4 linked regions of the Drosophila melanogaster genome follow. The protein of the gene in region 1 interacts with the protein of each later gene in a pairwise test. Each region holds a gene or a part of one and is shown in the gene's direction. Other genes may lie near its edges. The genes, in order: CG6398, CG10510, CG7970 and Golgin84.

Region 1 (4,869 bases):
CTCAACTGGCCAACATGCCAATGCGATCCGATTACAAACATTGCTTTATAAGTGCACGGCTATTCTTGTTGTTATTTAGGTAATTCTGGTATTTCCACACTCACACATACGACACTTACAATGCCCGTCAATATGGTAGTTTCCAATTTTGTTACATTTTGCCAGAGAATAACTAATTAACATGGTACATTTAAAGCGTACGTCTTTAAAATTTGGGAATTTCATGGTCTAGAACTAATATAATCAATGTGTATCACGTTAAAGATGAAAAATAGGACAAAATAATAGCAAAGCGTATCCAATTTATACATTTAAAAATGAATCAAACAGCACCTCTTTAGGGTATTAAATTCTTTCAGTTTTTAGGCGATTTTCTATATGCATATTTCTTAATTTCTTAAACGCTGCTATCTCTCTGCCCGCCACTGTGCTTTTGCTGCTGCAGTCGAGAGCGCGCCCAAAAATGCAATTGAGAAAAACCCACGCCATAAACAGAAACCCAAAATAGACAAAGGCATTAAAGCCGATGAAAATCAACAACAACAACAGCAAGTAGACGCAGCGAGATGCCAATGCCGCACAAACACAAACACCTATCTCTATATGGATATGTCCGTACACGAGATGTCTGTGTGTATATATTTTTTACCTGCGCAGTCGCAGCATCTTTGGGTCAATTGCACACTGCGAGAAATCGGCTGCGCCCTGATTAGCAGCGGGCGGTGGAAAAGGCCGAACTAATCGCACTCATGTGGGCGGAATTTCAGATTAGGCATTTGAATATACAAAAAATTCTCGCCCCAGAAGTTAATGACTCTCTATCAGCTGGACGCATTGTTCTTACAAGTCGATTTTCAAATGAACCATTTTAGATATAGGCAAATTCATGCATGTTTATTCAGGCTCAAAAACAAAACCGTTTAAATGGGTGTGCAGGCAATGATATTGACGTGTCAAATAATGATATTCACATTCCGCAGAAACTCCAATTATGATCCTTCAGTGTAATGGGTATTTGTTTTTAGGAGCCTGATTCCAATATCTTGCTAATAAAATATGTGGCTCAGTTTTGACAGAGTTACGATCTGGCGTGGCATAACTGCGATACGGTCGAGATATGGGAGCACCAGCACACCCCTTCGAACGCCCCCTTCGAGTTCCAGCCCACCGCCTACGCCCATGTGGCTGTGTGCCTCGCGTCCTACCTTCCTGCCCAGTGGGACTGGGACTCCATTGCACAGGCAGCACCGCATACCAAATACCAAACAAACATACGAAAAGATCAACAGGCTGCTGCTTTGTTGTTGTTTGCCTTTCGTATACCCTAACAAAAGGTTACTAGCTCTTATATATCTAACGTTATTTCTGCAAATCTCAACTGGGCATATGTGTTTACGGGATATCATGATTTGCCTTGTCTATCATCGCGTTTTGTTATCTGGATTATCCAGTGTTGGGTTTTGTAGATGCGTTAACATAAAGTCACAATTAACACAAATCTTACGTTATCGAATATGAAAATCTGAAACTTCGTACATAAATGTATAATGAGCTTATGAAAGATCATATCAAGTTCGCCTCAAATTGGCAGAGATATAAGCATTCTGTGAGGGTATTCCATGGTTCGTTTGCCGAAACAGTCTCTCCTTTCTTGTTTTTGCTTTATCCAGCAGGTAGAAGAGGCACCGTCTCCTTGCCTCCTGCTCCTAACTCTCCTCCCCCCTCAGTCCGGTTGCATTGCAAAGCGCTCAAATGAAACGCCGACTGAGACGCCGACTGCGACTTGAGACTATGGGTATGGGTATGGGTATGGTATATGGGTATTTGGTATTACCTGAAGTCTGGCTCAGTCGCCGACGATTTTCAGTCCGCTGGCGAACGTTGTTGCGATCACAACGTCTTGGCTATCAGTTCTCCGTCTCTTTGCTGCCCAGATTCAGATTCTCAGTTCTCCGTTCTCAATTCTCCAGCTCAGATTCTTCGCCGGCGTGCGTGTGTGTGTGTGTAGTGTTGTGAGCGTGTGCAGTGGAGCCCGTGTCAGTGTGTTAGTGCTGGCCCGTTGCTAAAATTATTATTTTTTTTAACGAACGTTGGCTTTTTTTTTGCTGTGCCTTCCAAACTGGTTGCTGCTCTTTTAACTGTGTATTTGTGCAGCAGCAGTAGCAGTTCAAGAAGAAGCGGCAGAATCTAGCTGCGGAAGAAGAAGACGTCGAAGACGCTAGAGATCACGAAACGAAAGAAAAATAATAGCAACTGTAGTTGTTGTTTTCTTCTCGGGGATTTTCGTTGGATAAATCCCGTATCATAGCCCCAAAATAGCTGAGATTTCGAAACAGATCCGGAATAAAACACCAGCATGCCCTGCTCGGCCGTAACCCTATCTATAGCGACGATCTGCGCGATCATCGCCACCGCCCTGCTGGCGATCGCCTTCTCCACGGATAATTGGCTGCACTACGATGTCTGGCGCAACCAGATACAGGTGAGTCTTCAATCTGCAGTCTACAGTGTCTTTAGTCTTCAGTGCCAGAGAAGGTGGGGGCTACGAATCGAATTAACCCAAGGCCCATCCGCTTGGAATACATAATCAGCTAAGGCCAGAGCCAGCGCCACCGAAATATACGGTGCATCTGCGACTGCGTGGCAGAAGCCACAGCCAGAGACAGAGTTACAACCAAAGCCGAAGACTCTCCCGCTTAAGACGGAGCTTTAGCTCCGCTTACGAGCTCTGCACATTGGTCCCAGAGATGTGGCTAAAGTAGATCCAGGCTGGGATTAGGCAATAGCTTAAGAAATCGGAAAAGATCGGGTTCAAAGTCGTGCAAGACAACGATATAATGGTACGATACAATGGAAATATTTAAAATGGGTAGGGAAATTGAAAATATCCTAATTTAGGCCCTACTTATACAATAGATATTAGTTGTTGAAAATAACTTGCTAGAGTTTAGGACTTCGTCTTCTGGAAAGTATAGCAGAGTACTATATTATATTATTAAATATATTTTGAAAATAAGTGGCTTCATTTCACAAATGCCATTGGAAGCATAGTAAATAAATACGATAAGGATTAAAGTTTTCATACTTAATTAATATTAAAACCGGAACGAATATCTCCATAATTTCCAAGGAATTAAGCCCGTTCGACTATGTCCAGAGAATAATGTGTATTATATTTTACTAATAATAGTAGGAGACATTTAGTTCTACAAACATCTTTGCATATCTTTTAAAATCCGTCCTCTTCCGAGAATCTTATCTATAGCGATGCTTAGATAAACAAGATATGTAATTAAGATGCACTTGCTGACATTTGTGCACTGCATACAGGTGTGCGCGGCCCACTGTGCGGAGTAGGAGGGCGAGAAAAAAGAAGCAGGAGGAGGAGTAGGTGAAAAGGGAGGAGAGGAGCGGAGAGGCAACCACGAAGGCAACAGCAACAAACGGAGGTAACAGTAACAGTCGCTCGTTTTGTGCTTGGCCGAAAGAAAAAGAAAAAGGGCAAGGCGGAGAAGAAGAAAGGTCGAAAGCAAATACACGAACAACTGGCATTGGAAGGAGGTGGGTAGGGAAGAAGGGAGGGAGTGGTGCGGTGTTGATCGAGAGGGGCCTGTGGAGGATGGGCAACGGCCGTTAACGTTCAAACTTTCTACGCGAGCGCTTAGCCAAGCGAAAAAACGAAGAAGAGCCCAGGCAGAAGAGGCCGCAGAAAAAGAAGAAAGGGGCGGTGAAGTGGAAGGAGTACACAATTTTACAGTTTGCATTGCAAATACAGTCAAACTGCGGATTACAACACTTCCCATTCTTCCAAGTAATCTAATTTTCAATTTTATGTTGGTTACTTCACTATTTATGAAATACAACTAGCTAACTGAAATCTCAGTTATAATCCGCCTCTTAAAGGGCCGAAAGCAATCGCAGCATATGTGTGTTTTAATTTCTTTCAAATAAGCAGCAGTTTGTCTTAATGAAGTGGCACTGTAGAAAATCCAACTCCGTCTTGTAGGTGCAGCCGAGAGAATTTTAGATGCGGAGAGCTCTATAGAAATAGGTGTAAAATCGCGGCGGTGTGCGTGCGCATACCAATCATACCAAAACAAGTTAGCTAAACAAAAAAAAAAACAATAAAAAACAAAGCTGAAGAAGAGGAAGAAAAGCACTCAAAGTGTGCTGAAAATATTTGCACGTTTTTCGACTTTGTCGCCTAATCCGAAAGTTTCAATGGAATCGAGGGAACGATAATTGCGGTGAGATTCGTTCGAATCTCGCCCAGCGTCGAAGTCTTCAGAGCCTGGGCACTTATAAAGCCATTAGAAGCAATCGTCTGCCTTGACCTCCCCCATTTTGGGTCATCGCTCCCTTCTCCCCATCCACGTTTCTTGTTCCTCCTCCTCCTCCACCTCCATCTCCTCCATCTCCATATCTCCGTTCTCCTTCGATTTCCGCCCCTGTAAGAGCCTTTGAAGAACCGCTCAGGTGCAGCAGGTAACTCGAGATGGGCTACTTGGCCACAGGAAACCCTAGGGTCCTATGAAGTGCATCCCCAGGGGAGTGGAGAACTAAATACCCACAGCGATTATGAGCGCTACTCAAAGAATGGGAATCCGGGGGAGTCAGTCGAGGGAATCATGATGATGGTGTCAGAATATCATCACTTCCAACCTTTCTTTAGCTAATTACAGATGTTTTCTTCGAAAGAAGTCAAATGGAAACTATTATGGTGGAAAAGGAAGCTCTGTGTTGTTACTTTCCTTTAAATACCCCTATATCTTATATTATCTTTAATTGTATGTCTTGTTGGTATATGTACATTAGATTGCATACTGTTTAGAGTTTAATTCTTCCTTTTCTTAGCCTGCAGGCTGCCCT
Region 2 (4,336 bases), on another chromosome or scaffold:
AGGCACATCCTAAAGCCGGCCGGTTGGTGGTGGACTGGATTGGAGTGGATTGGTTTGGGATTCTCCCCACATGTTGATGGTCCCTTGGGAGGACGGACAGGTAAAGGGTGAAGGAACCGCCTAAACCAAGGCACGTGCCAAGTAGCTGCCAAAAGGCGGACGCACAGTCGTCATTTTCATCGTCGTTTGACAGGCCATCTCTGCTCTGATTTTCGGAATGGAGAGGGTGGATGTCGACGAGGACGTCGTGAGGATGGAAAGCTCGTCTTCGGTTGAGTGGCCTCTTGAATTAACGTATGACAACGTATGTTGCTTAATTGCACATGGCTTTTTAAGCATAAGGGGTTAAGTTATATGTATATATGTATGATAGGCTAAGGAGATGTTAAAGACCCCGCTGGCATCCGACGACGCGGAAGTGACACAATTTATGCCGCTGAAACGAGGCCAATTGGAGTGGCTAAGGAGCACTAAGCTAAGTAGCCCATAGGGAACCACATGGTACCCACACGCTGGGTCTTTAGAGTTCAGTAAAATTGTTTTGCGTATCAGTAATAATAATTTAAATTTAAATTAAAACATTTTCTTCAAACATAAAACATTTTGAAAATTTTATGTTAGAAAGTTCTTTCGATTATAAGCTGAAGAAAAGTTAGCCAATATCCAATCCAAGCTTGTACTTCGTTCCATTGTGTGTTAAATGAATAATTTAAATTAGTACCGAGCTTGCGTCCTAAGAGTTTAAATACCAAAGGTGTTTCAAAACTAAGTTCTGCAAGCCACCGAACTAACGAATAATTTCCTTATCACTATAAGGCCAAACATGGCAAACACCACCTCAACCGGACGCCTACCACCCAATCATTTTAAAGTAAGCGACTTACGCCCCCAAGGCCCCCTACATACACCCACAACCACACACCCAACCATAATCCTTCGCCCACCGAAAGAGCCACCCCAAGCGACGTTGGCACGCAAATTTATCAGTTGCCCCCGTGGCAACCTATCAAATGGAACCCCTATATCCCACAACTGGCCACCACATCTCCCAGTACAGTCCGCATTTCACGACATTGTGGTTAATGGATGCATAAATATTTATGACGTCGGGCTGTGCACATGCAACTCACCAATTTCCAGTTGCTTGATCGTATTTGCAGTCCCAGCCGGGCGGCATTTTCTGATAGCCACCGGATTCGCTCATTTTCACCGCTCACGAATAGATACAGATGCAGATACAGTAACAATTGCACTTGCAGATGCGAGGCGCTTCGATGCCCAGTTAAACCGAACGACCGTCGTTTTATTATTTTCGTTTTCTGCCTGAATGTTTATGGACGTTTAAAGTCGCATTCGCAGCTTGTTTGCCGACTGTCTGCAACCCCGAAAAGTTGGCAGGCAGGAGTGCCCTTGCCACTTATCCTGCGCGGAGCTTTGTAGTTGCCTTTGTCGTCGGATGTTTCAGATTTGGGGGTTGTAACCACCCTCGATGGCAACCTCTCCTCGGCAGCAGAGTTATTTTTGTTTACAAGGCACTGCCTGCCGGGAAAAAGGACCGCAACACACAGATACACACGCTCACACACACACAGTTCGATGTGGCGTGCCGTTAGTAAGCAAGCCAGCCAGGCTTTAGCTACCCGGAAAGGAATCGTTTTTGGGGAATCCTGGAGTCGCGACGCTATAAACAACCTCGCGAGCCAAGCTTTGAGAGTCAACTGAGGAAATCAGTGGCGGGCGTTAAAGCTTCAGATGCTGTGCGAATAGTCGTTAAAAAAGCTGGTATCCAGTGTTGGAATTTGCCCGTCGAAAGCTGTGCGCCAAACTTCGATTCAGCTTTCAAACAGGCACACAATTCGAATTTAGCTCCCCCGTCAATTTTCCAAAAATTTCACCTTTGATTTACGCATTTAGTTCAGCTACAACTACACATCGGCAAAATGGCCGAAATCTTGGCACGCTTGACGCGTGTTTCGGAAAACTACCTCCAAGAACTGGAGGAGGAGCCGGAGCCACAAGGACCGCCCAAACTAACCAAGGCTCAGAAGAAGGCCGCCAAGAAAGAGGCCAAGCGACTGGCTATGATCGAGGAGAAGCGGCTCATCATGCGGGTGGGTTCAACTAACTTTCGCAGAGTTTTTATTAAGGATGAACCTAAGCAAATCCTTAATATTATTAATTTTTATAATAAAAATAATATATTAAGACTATATTAAAATTGTAAACGCATCATTTCTAATGTTGCGCCATGATCCTCTCAGGATGCCCTGATGCGCGAGCTGGAGATGGGCAAGCATATGGAGGAGAAAGGCAACGAGGAGTGGCACGAGATGTGCCGCGAAATCAAGATCAAGGAGCTAAACGAGGAGATGAGGGCTTGGGGCGAGCGCTCGGAACGTAACATTCAGGCCAAGAACGACCACATCAAGATGCTTCTGGACGACATGGCGCAGACGCAGGATCAGCACGTGCGTTGCTACAGCAAAACGGTGGAGCTGATTGATCACATTCGCGACTGCTTCCACGTGATGTTGGGCGGGGTGAAGAGCATGTATGACCAGCAGGCTGACGAGATGCTGAGGGATTACTATGAAGAGGTGCGCCGGCGCACCGAAGAGGTGGAAGCCATGAAAACGAACTCCGAGAACATAATCCATGCCACCAACATCACCACCCGGGATCAGCTGAAGGAGGATTACACTATCTACCTGGAGCAGCGCGACGATCGCGTGAATACGGAGATTGAGAACAGATTTAAGATTCGAGATCAGATTGTCCGCCGGATGACGCACATGCAGCAGCAACTGAACGACTTCGTGGAGTCGCTGAGGAGCACCGAACTGGATGCCCACAAGTACGAGAAGATCCACTGGCTGACGGAGCGGCAGGCGGCTTTCATGGAGGAGTCACGCAAGCTAAACGCCGAGGAGTCCAAGTACATCAACATGCAGGCGGAACTGCAGCGCGAAATGGTTCGCATGGATGCGGAGAACAACTCCACGCTCAACGATCTTCGCCTGGAGTTCCAGTACTTCACCAACGTGCGCAAGAAGATTGAGCTCAACCAGGAGATGGATCGCGAGATCACGCACGAGAAGTTGCGCATCCTGACCGGCGAGTGCTACGAGTTGACCAAGGTGAACCTTTGTCCCAAGCCCTATTACCCATTTCTAAATTGAAATATTATTCCAGCAAATGGAGAAGCACGTGAAAAGTGGGGAATTACTCTTGGCCCTGTCGATCACTTGCAGGAAACTGCAAACCGAATCGGAAAAGGTAATCCTCGGCGGCGAGGTATTCGACGAAACCGAGGTGGATGTCGATGAATACTTCAAGCTGCAGACTCTCAACCTGAAAGATCACGTGGACATGACCGAGGAGGAACTCGTGGAGCTAAACAAAAGTCTCAGGAACTTCTGGCGCCGCCAGGCGATGGCCGAAGCTCAAAACCTGCTGATGCTGGAGGAGAAGCGTCGCCTCACTGAGGACAATCAGCGCCTGATCGACTTTATCAAATCCATGAGTGTCACCGAGGATCCGGAAGAGCTGCGAACCGCCATGCATGTTTCATCGCCAACTCAACCCATGCCACCCAAACTTTTCGAGACAAAGTGCCAGGAATTCAAGTCCAGAAAGGTCGTGCATTCACCGACGGCACACAAGGAGGCCAAGTGGGAGGCCGAAGCCACTTTGAATGAGGTGATTCTGGACTTTTGAAAATATGTGGCATTCAAAGTTATGTTTAAATATAAAAATGAGCTCAATTAAATTGAATAATAGTTAAATTAATATATTTACCTTGTTTGCAATCGCAAGAAAAAATGCTATAAAGACAAATATTTGATTATCGAAGAGTATATTGTTTATTTTAATAGTTTTGAAATTGCTGAACACAGCATGGGTATCTCAAAGTGCCAAAATCAATATATTTTAAAACAGATAGTTTTTGTTTTAAACAGAAATTTAGCTGTACTTCTACTTATGTATATTATTTTGCAAACTGCAAGTCTTTACTCTACTAAATATTGCTAATTCCCTAAAAGAATGCCGAAGCTCATGTTTTTAGTTAATAAGAAAGCTTGCGTAGTTAAAAACTAAATAATAGGAGCAACGACAGACTCTTAGGAGACTAGAAATATGTTTTAAGTGCAACATGGAGATATGTAACTAGCTTTAGTTCAGCACCAGTGCAATCTAATCTAACTGTTGCAAATATCAATATTTCTCTCAGTGTAAAGTGTTACTGTAGTGCTTTGGTCCATCAAAATGCAGAGGCGTCTTCAACATATGGCAATGGGTATGCTTGACTCCCTAGTGTAAGTCCACCAGTTCTTTC
Region 3 (3,589 bases), on another chromosome or scaffold:
TTGGGCTCGAGATGGCGCGCCCTGTCTGCGGGTCTCAAATTCATTCACATCATTCTAGCAAATCGAAATTCATGTTTTCACTTTGGTGCCAAATTATTATCGTATACAGAACTACTATATTGTATGCAATGGCGAGAGATATTAACTAAACTGTAGACGCGACCAGATCAAACCAGAATGTAATCAAATCCTCTTCGTAACGGGCACTTAGTCGGAACCATTTAAATTACGACTTTAGAAACAATTTTAATAAATTTGAACAACTCATACATATTTAAAATTAATAATCCAACGTCAGTCAATCTGAATTTCGTTTTACTTTCGTCCTCAAACGAGCGATTAGCAGGAGATTATGCGGCATTATACTGGTGCTCTAAGCTATAACTGTGCCAAGGAAGCGATTCCTAAATACGTGTGAATGTGGATGTGTACGCCCTACTCGGACCCGGTGCTCAGCAGCTTCAGGGCCTTCTGCAGGTTCTCGATGGCTGTCTTGACGTCGTCGTAGTTGAGGGCACTGCCGGCGTACTTGCAATACTTCTGGGCGGTAATCATTTGGTCGGGAGTGATTTGCACCCCGGCCACGGGCACAATGGGCTGGTAAATGGTGGCCGCCGTGGCCGGATTAGGCTGAGCTGTGGGCACGTAGGGCACAAAGCCGCCCGGCTTCTCCTCGTCCACCGGTGGACTGGGCAATTTGTTCGGGTTGTTCAGCACCTCCTCGGCGGTGGGAGGGACCACTCCGGAAGTTGTCGGTGATGATGGAGCTGGTGGCTGTGAGTCAGGCTCCGGCTGGTAGGGCGCTGGAGCAGCTGCTCCCGCGGCGTCCTCCGGCGATGTGTCTGCCGAGGCGTTGGCATTCTCCCCCTCGAGCTCCGCCTCATCGTCGTCGTCTGGCAAGGGGCCGGGAATCGGTGTCTCACCGTTCTTCAGGCAATTGTGGATGTAGGCGGCCTTCCACTTGGCGTACTTCCTGTTGTGCAGCGCCTCTTCGCTCAGTTCACCGAAGGTCTGGAGAATGTCGTAGAGCACACCACTGGAGTAGAAGGCCTTAACGACGTTTCTGCGAAGAAGCACAATCTTATGAATCAGGAAAATCGATTCAGGGTATTTCTACGAAGGGAACGCACTTTCCGAAGTTCTCCTCGCGATCCTGTTTGTCGGCGTACAGGAATAGTTTCAAGGCGTAGTTCTCGATGTGTGCCTGGGCAGCCACCTCGTTGGTGATGGCCTCGTTCTCAGCATACTGTTTCTTCATCTGCTCCAGCCAGTCCATGATGCCTGGCGGTCGTAGGGAAAACCAAAACAAAACAAACCACGGATGAGTCATAGGCTGGTAATATGCGTATCGGATTTTTCACTCACCCAGCAGCAGTTTGGTTTCTTCACCCGTTTGGGTGGAGGCTTTGAGGCCCACCTGGAGAGCACTGGATTCGGAAGATGAGTAAATACGGGCAAAACAAGAAAAACTAATCTGTAGATACTCACTAGAGTCTCGCCCAGTAGGCGATGACCACATCCCGGGTATCATGTTCCTGGGCCAGCTTCAGAAAGTGTTGGATGGACTTCAGCGAGGGAGGACAAGGCGGAAACTCCATCGTGGTGGAAAGAGGGCTTAATCTTTAGTTCTATGCTTAATTACGGATCTGGAAAATTATGCCGACAACAATGGAAATGACGAGCACGCAGAGTGACCAGATATCGCAGTTTCTCGAATGCCATGGAACCACCCCAGTTCCAAACTCTGGAACTAGCGAAATACTAAAGTTTGTACCTTCGGCTAAAGTTGTTGGTTCGGCGCTCAGTTGCGAATCTGCGACCAAAACGTTTGGAGTTTCTCAGGTAAGCACTGGACTCTGGGAACTGGTTTTCGCTGTTATCAGTGCGACCAGTTGCACTTTGCACTTTGACCTGCATCCTTCACACCAGTCACATTCCAGGCACATCTCTGCACCACCGGCAACATGGTTCTCTCCAAGCCCCTGTACTCGCTCTTCGGCACTTATCTGGAGCAGCTCTTCAACCACCCGGTCCGCACCAAATCCATTACGGCGTAAGTACACTATTCGCCTTATCATCCGGTTCGCCTCACCCACCGGCTGCTCCTTACTGCAGATGCGTTCTGGCCACCTCGGCTAATGTCACCTCCCAGCGTTTGGCGGGCGCCAAGACCCTCAACCAGCAGAGCGTATTCGCCTACGGACTCTTTGGACTGATCTTCGGCGGTAGTGTGCCGCACTACTTCTACACGACGGTGGAGCGACTCTTCAGCCAGGATGTGCGCTTCCGAAGATTCTTCCTGTTCCTGTCCGAGCGACTGGTCTATGCTCCGATTTACCAGGCACTGTCCCTGTTCTTCTTGGCCCTGTTCGAGGTGAGAATCCATAATCCGCAATCTCAGTTCCTAGAACTATAATTTGTAATCCCTTACAGGGCAAGTCTCCCAGCACTGCATTGAAGAATGTTGAGAAGCTCTACTGGCCTCTGCTGAAGGCCAACTGGCAGTACCTGTCCGTGTTCGTGTACCTCAACTTCGCCTACGTGCCCCCGATGTTCCGGTCCATCAGCATGGCCATCATCTCCTTCATCTGGGTGGTGTACATCGCCCAGAAGCGTCGCCGCTTCCAGGACAAGCTGGCCGCCAAAGAGGCAGCCAAATAGGCTATACGACCCTTAAACCCTGTGGTAGTCGTCTTGGCCTAATATTCCAATTACTGCTTAGATTACGGCTGAACTGCTTCAAGTTCTTTATCTTCCCGCGTTCCGGCGGATTGCAAAAAGTCCGTGTGTATTTGAACACTTTAGATAAGCTAAAACTAACTGGAGGGGCGCCTTATCAACCGACTGTTGTTATACCTTAAACCCTAAATTTTGTAAACTTTTCTTACCAAAATAAACTAATATACAATGTATAAGATATCTAGATATCCATGGCCAAATTTGGCCAACAGAAATGCTTAACAAGTAGCGACAATCGTCGATCTAACATCCCATTTCCATTGCGCACAATGGATCCCAATTTGAGAAATTCCAAGGCAACCTTTTGAGATGCAACAAATAATGTCTGTTTTTTTTTTATTAAAACGCAGCTTAGAACTAGCAAATAATCGAGCAAAGGCTTACAAACGAGAATTATTGGCTTTTTATCGGCGCTACAATATAATTTCGCTAGTAAATTCATGGGCAGATGACTAACTTAGGGCTACGGAATGCAGTGTAAAACAAGTTAAATGCGCATAACAACTATCTTAAAACTAGGATTCTGACTAGAGGAGGTGACTACGATGATGGTGATGATTGTGGGGGGCACCTGTGCCTCAAGACTCGCCGCACATCCTGCGCAGCGACGCGGTTAACACTCAGAAGGCGGCCATCGACGGACTCCGGCTGTTGCGCAGGGGCGTGAGAAGGGGCGTGGCAGGACTGCTGGCGCGGCTAAAGCAACTGGAGCAGCAACTAGAGGCATCCTCCACCTCGCCCTCGGCGTTCGCCTTGTGGTGATAGGGAATCGGTCGCTTGCGAGCGCTGAAAGCATAATGAATAGATTAGTATGGGATTCGTGTAGCAAGCTTAAAAACCAAAGGGCAAA
Region 4 (4,187 bases), on another chromosome or scaffold:
AAATAAACAAATTTCTCCTAACTTACATATAATTGACTAAATAAATTGAATAATTTCGTGAACTGCTTAATTTGTTATAATTGGCAAGCTGCCAGGTTTTAAGACGAGAGACCTCTATGATAGTGAAACTTATAGTTCCCTTTATAAATACTTTTCCATATAGGCTCGTCAGGCGTATCTGAAATCCTTCTACCATCCCGCCAGCAAAGAGATGATTGACCGTGGGCTCTTACTTTGGTTTCCGGGACCGGCTTCTTTCACTGGCGAGGATTCCTGCGAGTTTCAGGTACACGGGTCCCTGGCAGTCATTGCGGCCATGTTGGATGCTCTGGGAAAAGTGGATGGATTGCGGCCGGCGGAGCCGGGAGAGTTCACAAAGAGAGCGTTCTTTGGTGGCAAACTGGATTTGACAGAGGTGGAGGGATTGGCCGATCTTATCCATGCTGAAACGGAGGCGCAAAGAAAGCAGGTAGACAGTGGACTTAGGGTCTCATAAATTTTGTTTCAAGTCTCTTCTTTCTCCAGGCACTGCTACAAAGCACTGGAGCACTGGCTCGACTCTACGACAACTGGCGCCGTCGACTTATTCGCTGTGCTGCCCATTTGGAGGCCTACATAGACTTCGCCGAAGAGGAGCAAATCGAAGGCGGCATCATCCTGCAACTCGGCAAAGAACTAAAGGCGGTAAAGCGTGAGATTCGCGAGCATTTGAGTGACCAGCGGCAGGGAGAGCTCCTCCGCGACGGAGTCCGCACTGTGATCATTGGAGCACCCAATGTTGGCAAGAGTAGTCTGCTCAATCTCCTCTGCCAGCGATCCGTGTCCATAGTGACGGATCAGGCGGGCACCACAAGGGATATTATAGAAACAATGCACAATTTCGGAGGATACCCGGTGGTATTTTCCGACACAGCCGGATTACGCCGATATACTACGGATAGTATAGAGCAGGAGGGAATGCAGAGAGCCAAGAATTGTCTAGTCCAATCTGATTTGATATTGCTCCTAGCAGAAGCCAAGAACATTGCACAGCTGACGCACGACGACGCAGTTGCTCCGTTTGTAGATAGCTATCTGGGCGAGTTGGATATACCTCTGGACATGTGCTCAGGGAAACGTCTGCAATTGGTGGCCAATAAAACCGACACTTTGACGGATGAGGAGCATCAGCAGCTGGACAAGCTGTCCAACGTGTTAGCCATATCATGCCATAAGCCCGATAAGATGCCCGTGTTTCTGGGATCACTGGAGAAGCAGCTGCAAGAACTGTGCGGAGAACCGCGGGCGGAGAATCCACGCATCACAAACACACGCTACCGTCAGCAACTGGAGCGCTGCATTGAGAACATTGATATTTTTCTACGAGATTACAGACCCGACGTTTACCCGGACATGGCCATAGCCGCCTCCAAGCTGCGCAACTCCGTGCGCTGCATCGAACGCATCACCGGACACATCAGCTGCGAAGATATACTCGACGTGGTCTTCAAGGACTTTTGCATTGGAAAGTGAAGAGATAGTTTATAGTTGTGAGTTGCGAAGATTACACTGCCCATGTTGAGTATTGAATAAAATATTCATTTGTACCCTAGAGTTTTGATAAGCATAATAAATTAACATTTCTGCACGGATAAGAAAGATTGGAATTACATTTATTTCTAAAACCAATCCTTACATTTTCATATAAATATTTTTTTGATCAGAAAAAAGGTTTTTCAAAATTACGTTACTTTTAGAGTGACCTTAACTTTGGAGTTGACCATTCCGCAGTCGATAGCGATATGGGCACACAGTGTGATATTGTTTACGTGTTTTACTCGAAGAGATTTGTTTTTCTTAGAAAAATATGTCATCCTGGATCACAGGACTGGCGGACAAGGCCGAAAACATTTTGAACAAGCTGGACCAAAATGCGGCAACGGCCCTGCAGACAGAGAACGCCACAGGTTCAGCGGATCCCATGCGTAGGAGCATGACGAGCAGCACCCAATCACTGTCCACATCCCTGAAGTCCACTCTGTCGCCAGTGCGGCGCTCGGGGGCCAATAGCTCATCAAGTGTAAAAAGCGATGGCGGGGTCTCCGTGGTCACTAAGGACATGCGCCAAAAGATGACCACGTCGGCCAGTTTCTCCAACAGTCCCGACATATCCGCCAACTCAATGGACACAAATGAATTGGCTGCCTTCAAGATCGCCCTGAATGAAATCACGGCCGAAAGAGATGAACTGCGTCTGCGCTTGGAAGATCTTAATAACGAAACCGAAAAGTTTGATCTGCATCAACACACCCAGGTGCTGGAAGCTCTGGTTAAAAGTCTGTCCGAAGAGCGGGACAAGGCGGTTCATGACTACAATGAGGCCCAGGCAGCTAACATGGCGTATGTGCACTCCATCTCCGAACTGGAAACCAATCTGGCCAAGTTGCAGCAGGAATACATAAGCGCCGCTCACAAATTGCAAATGCAAACAAAGGAAACGGAGCAGCAGCGCCAGGAGCTTCAGGAATACCGTATCAAGGCTCAGCGAGCTCTGCAAGCAAAGGATTCCCTCATCGCAGAGTTGAAGGCGAAGCCCACGGAGGAGGGCGCAGATCCAAACCTGGTGTCCAAGGACAGTGAAACGCGTTTTCTGCAAATTGAACACGAGTCACTTAAGCAAGAACTAGAGCATGCCAACGAGGAACTGCAAAAGGCGCGCTTGCAGCTGGACGATTACGTTTCCCAGGAAAGACAACGACAGGTGGAACTAAGCTCTGCCCGCCAACGCGAGGAAACACTAGCAAAGGAGTTGCGACAGGCAAGGGAACACAGTGTGACCTCCGAATCCGATCAGCGAGTGCTCACGCAGGAACTGGCCTCACTGCGGCAGCAACTTAGTAACCAAATGGCTGCTGCCGCCACTCGACTCCAGGAGCGGGAGCAGCAGCTTCAGCAGATGCGTCAGCGATTGAGCGAGGAAGCCAACACGGGAGCCAAGAGCGATTACGAGACTCGGCTAAAGGCTTTAACCCAATCACTGGTCGAACGTCAAAGTCTTCTGGAAAGAGTTACGAGTGAGAGAAATGCCCTGCGACTACAGCACGAAAAGGCACAGACGCAGCTACAGCAAAACATGCACTTGGTGGAAATGGAGAGCCAAAGGGGCAGCTCCCGCCATACTATGCTCAACAGCACAGATGATGGTAAGTCTAACATTCTGCGAGTACCAGAAATTACATAAATATGAGTTCTACCTAGTCAAAGCACAATTCCCGCTTCTCATGCATCCAAGTCCATTCGATAATCGTGTGGCACGACGCTTCAAGCGAGCCCTTCGCCAGGCGGACTCCATGGGTATTCGGGTGGGAACGTTTCTGCGTCGCTATCCCATGATGCGGGTCTCTGTGATCGTCTACGTGGCCCTACTACATCTGTGGGTCATGTTTGTGCTGCTCTCCACTACACCAAACTAATCGAATCAAATACATTTAGTTGAGCAATTGTTGTATTTCCATAATATTGTATGTATTGTATTTTACGCGCCAAAATTGGATATCTAGTGGTACGAGTATATGTGTCATGTTTGTGGTTGCAACAATTGTATATATCGATATTATACTTGTGTCTCGCACTCGTTCTAAATTCAATATTCAATAAACATCAACTATGTACAGAAATTGCAATTGATTTAACGCTAAAAACATCCAGCAAACAAGTAACAAGACCGAAAAAATTAGCACTACTAAGTTAGGATTAGAACGATTCCTCACAGTTCAAATATTGCATAAAGAATCCATCTACAGATGCTGTAAAATTGTTAAGTAAACGTGAATTAGTTTAACTTCAGTTTAACTCCAGTTGCTGGGCAGAGCTGATAGTTCTAGCTAAGCGGAAGAAAATAGAGAGTATACGCTTTTGGGACGATTCGCGTAAAACATGCGCTATATGCCCCGCAAGTTTTTATATCAGTCATCGGCATGGTAGCTCACATAGACAGCATCGCCTCCGATGCTAATCAGGCACTGGCCCTAAGAATACAAGATTTCAGTATAAAAACTTTAAGGTAAGTAGATCATTGTGTTTGCCTTACCTGATTCTTGTGCTGATTATCGAACAACATAAGTTCGGTGATGTAAAAAGAGACCATGGCATTTCCGCCCAGCGAAGCGATGTGTGCTCTCACCACAGCCAACAGTTCGGTAATGAAG

What was found.
Region 2: the proteins of CG6398 (region 1) and CG10510 interact in a two-hybrid assay, tested with the Drosophila melanogaster proteins (one large-scale study listed by BioGRID).
Region 3: the proteins of CG6398 (region 1) and CG7970 interact in a two-hybrid assay, tested with the Drosophila melanogaster proteins (one large-scale study listed by BioGRID).
Region 4: the proteins of CG6398 (region 1) and Golgin84 interact in a two-hybrid assay, tested with the Drosophila melanogaster proteins (one large-scale study listed by BioGRID).

The regions. Positions count from the first base shown.
Region 1 is NC_004354.4:17,828,965-17,833,833, forward strand, and holds the start of CG6398 (uncharacterized protein), read left to right. Parts: upstream 1-1,863; 5' UTR 1,864-2,356; coding exon 2,357-2,482; intron 2,483-4,869.
Region 2 is NT_037436.4:21,207,599-21,211,934, reverse strand, and holds CG10510 (uncharacterized protein), read left to right. Parts: upstream 1-1,850; 5' UTR 1,851-1,940; coding exon 1,941-2,111; intron 2,112-2,261; coding exon 2,262-3,137; intron 3,138-3,192; coding exon 3,193-3,717; 3' UTR 3,718-3,787; downstream 3,788-4,336. Other genes in the region: CG10508 (uncharacterized protein), read right to left, coding at 1,131-1,204.
Region 3 is NT_037436.4:1,651,202-1,654,790, forward strand, and holds CG7970 (uncharacterized protein), read left to right. Parts: upstream 1-1,598; 5' UTR 1,599-1,674; coding exon 1,675-1,842; intron 1,843-1,929; exon of another isoform or gene 1,930-1,940; coding exon 1,941-2,053; intron 2,054-2,115; coding exon 2,116-2,374; intron 2,375-2,433; coding exon 2,434-2,661; 3' UTR 2,662-3,037; downstream 3,038-3,589. Other genes in the region: Vta1 (vesicle trafficking 1), read right to left, coding at 436-1,063, 1,131-1,281, 1,366-1,427, 1,489-1,598; Srrm234 (Serine-arginine repetitive matrix 2/3/4), read right to left, coding at 3,360-3,525.
Region 4 is NT_033777.3:24,355,536-24,359,722, reverse strand, and holds Golgin84 (Golgin-84), read left to right. Parts: upstream 1-1,784; 5' UTR 1,785-1,846; coding exon 1,847-3,182; intron 3,183-3,237; coding exon 3,238-3,452; 3' UTR 3,453-3,653; downstream 3,654-4,187. Other genes in the region: CG18528 (uncharacterized protein), read left to right, coding at 164-469, 526-1,512; CG6454 (uncharacterized protein), read right to left, coding at 3,945-4,007, 4,070-4,187. UniProt on the Drosophila melanogaster protein: May be involved in maintaining Golgi structure and in intra-Golgi transport.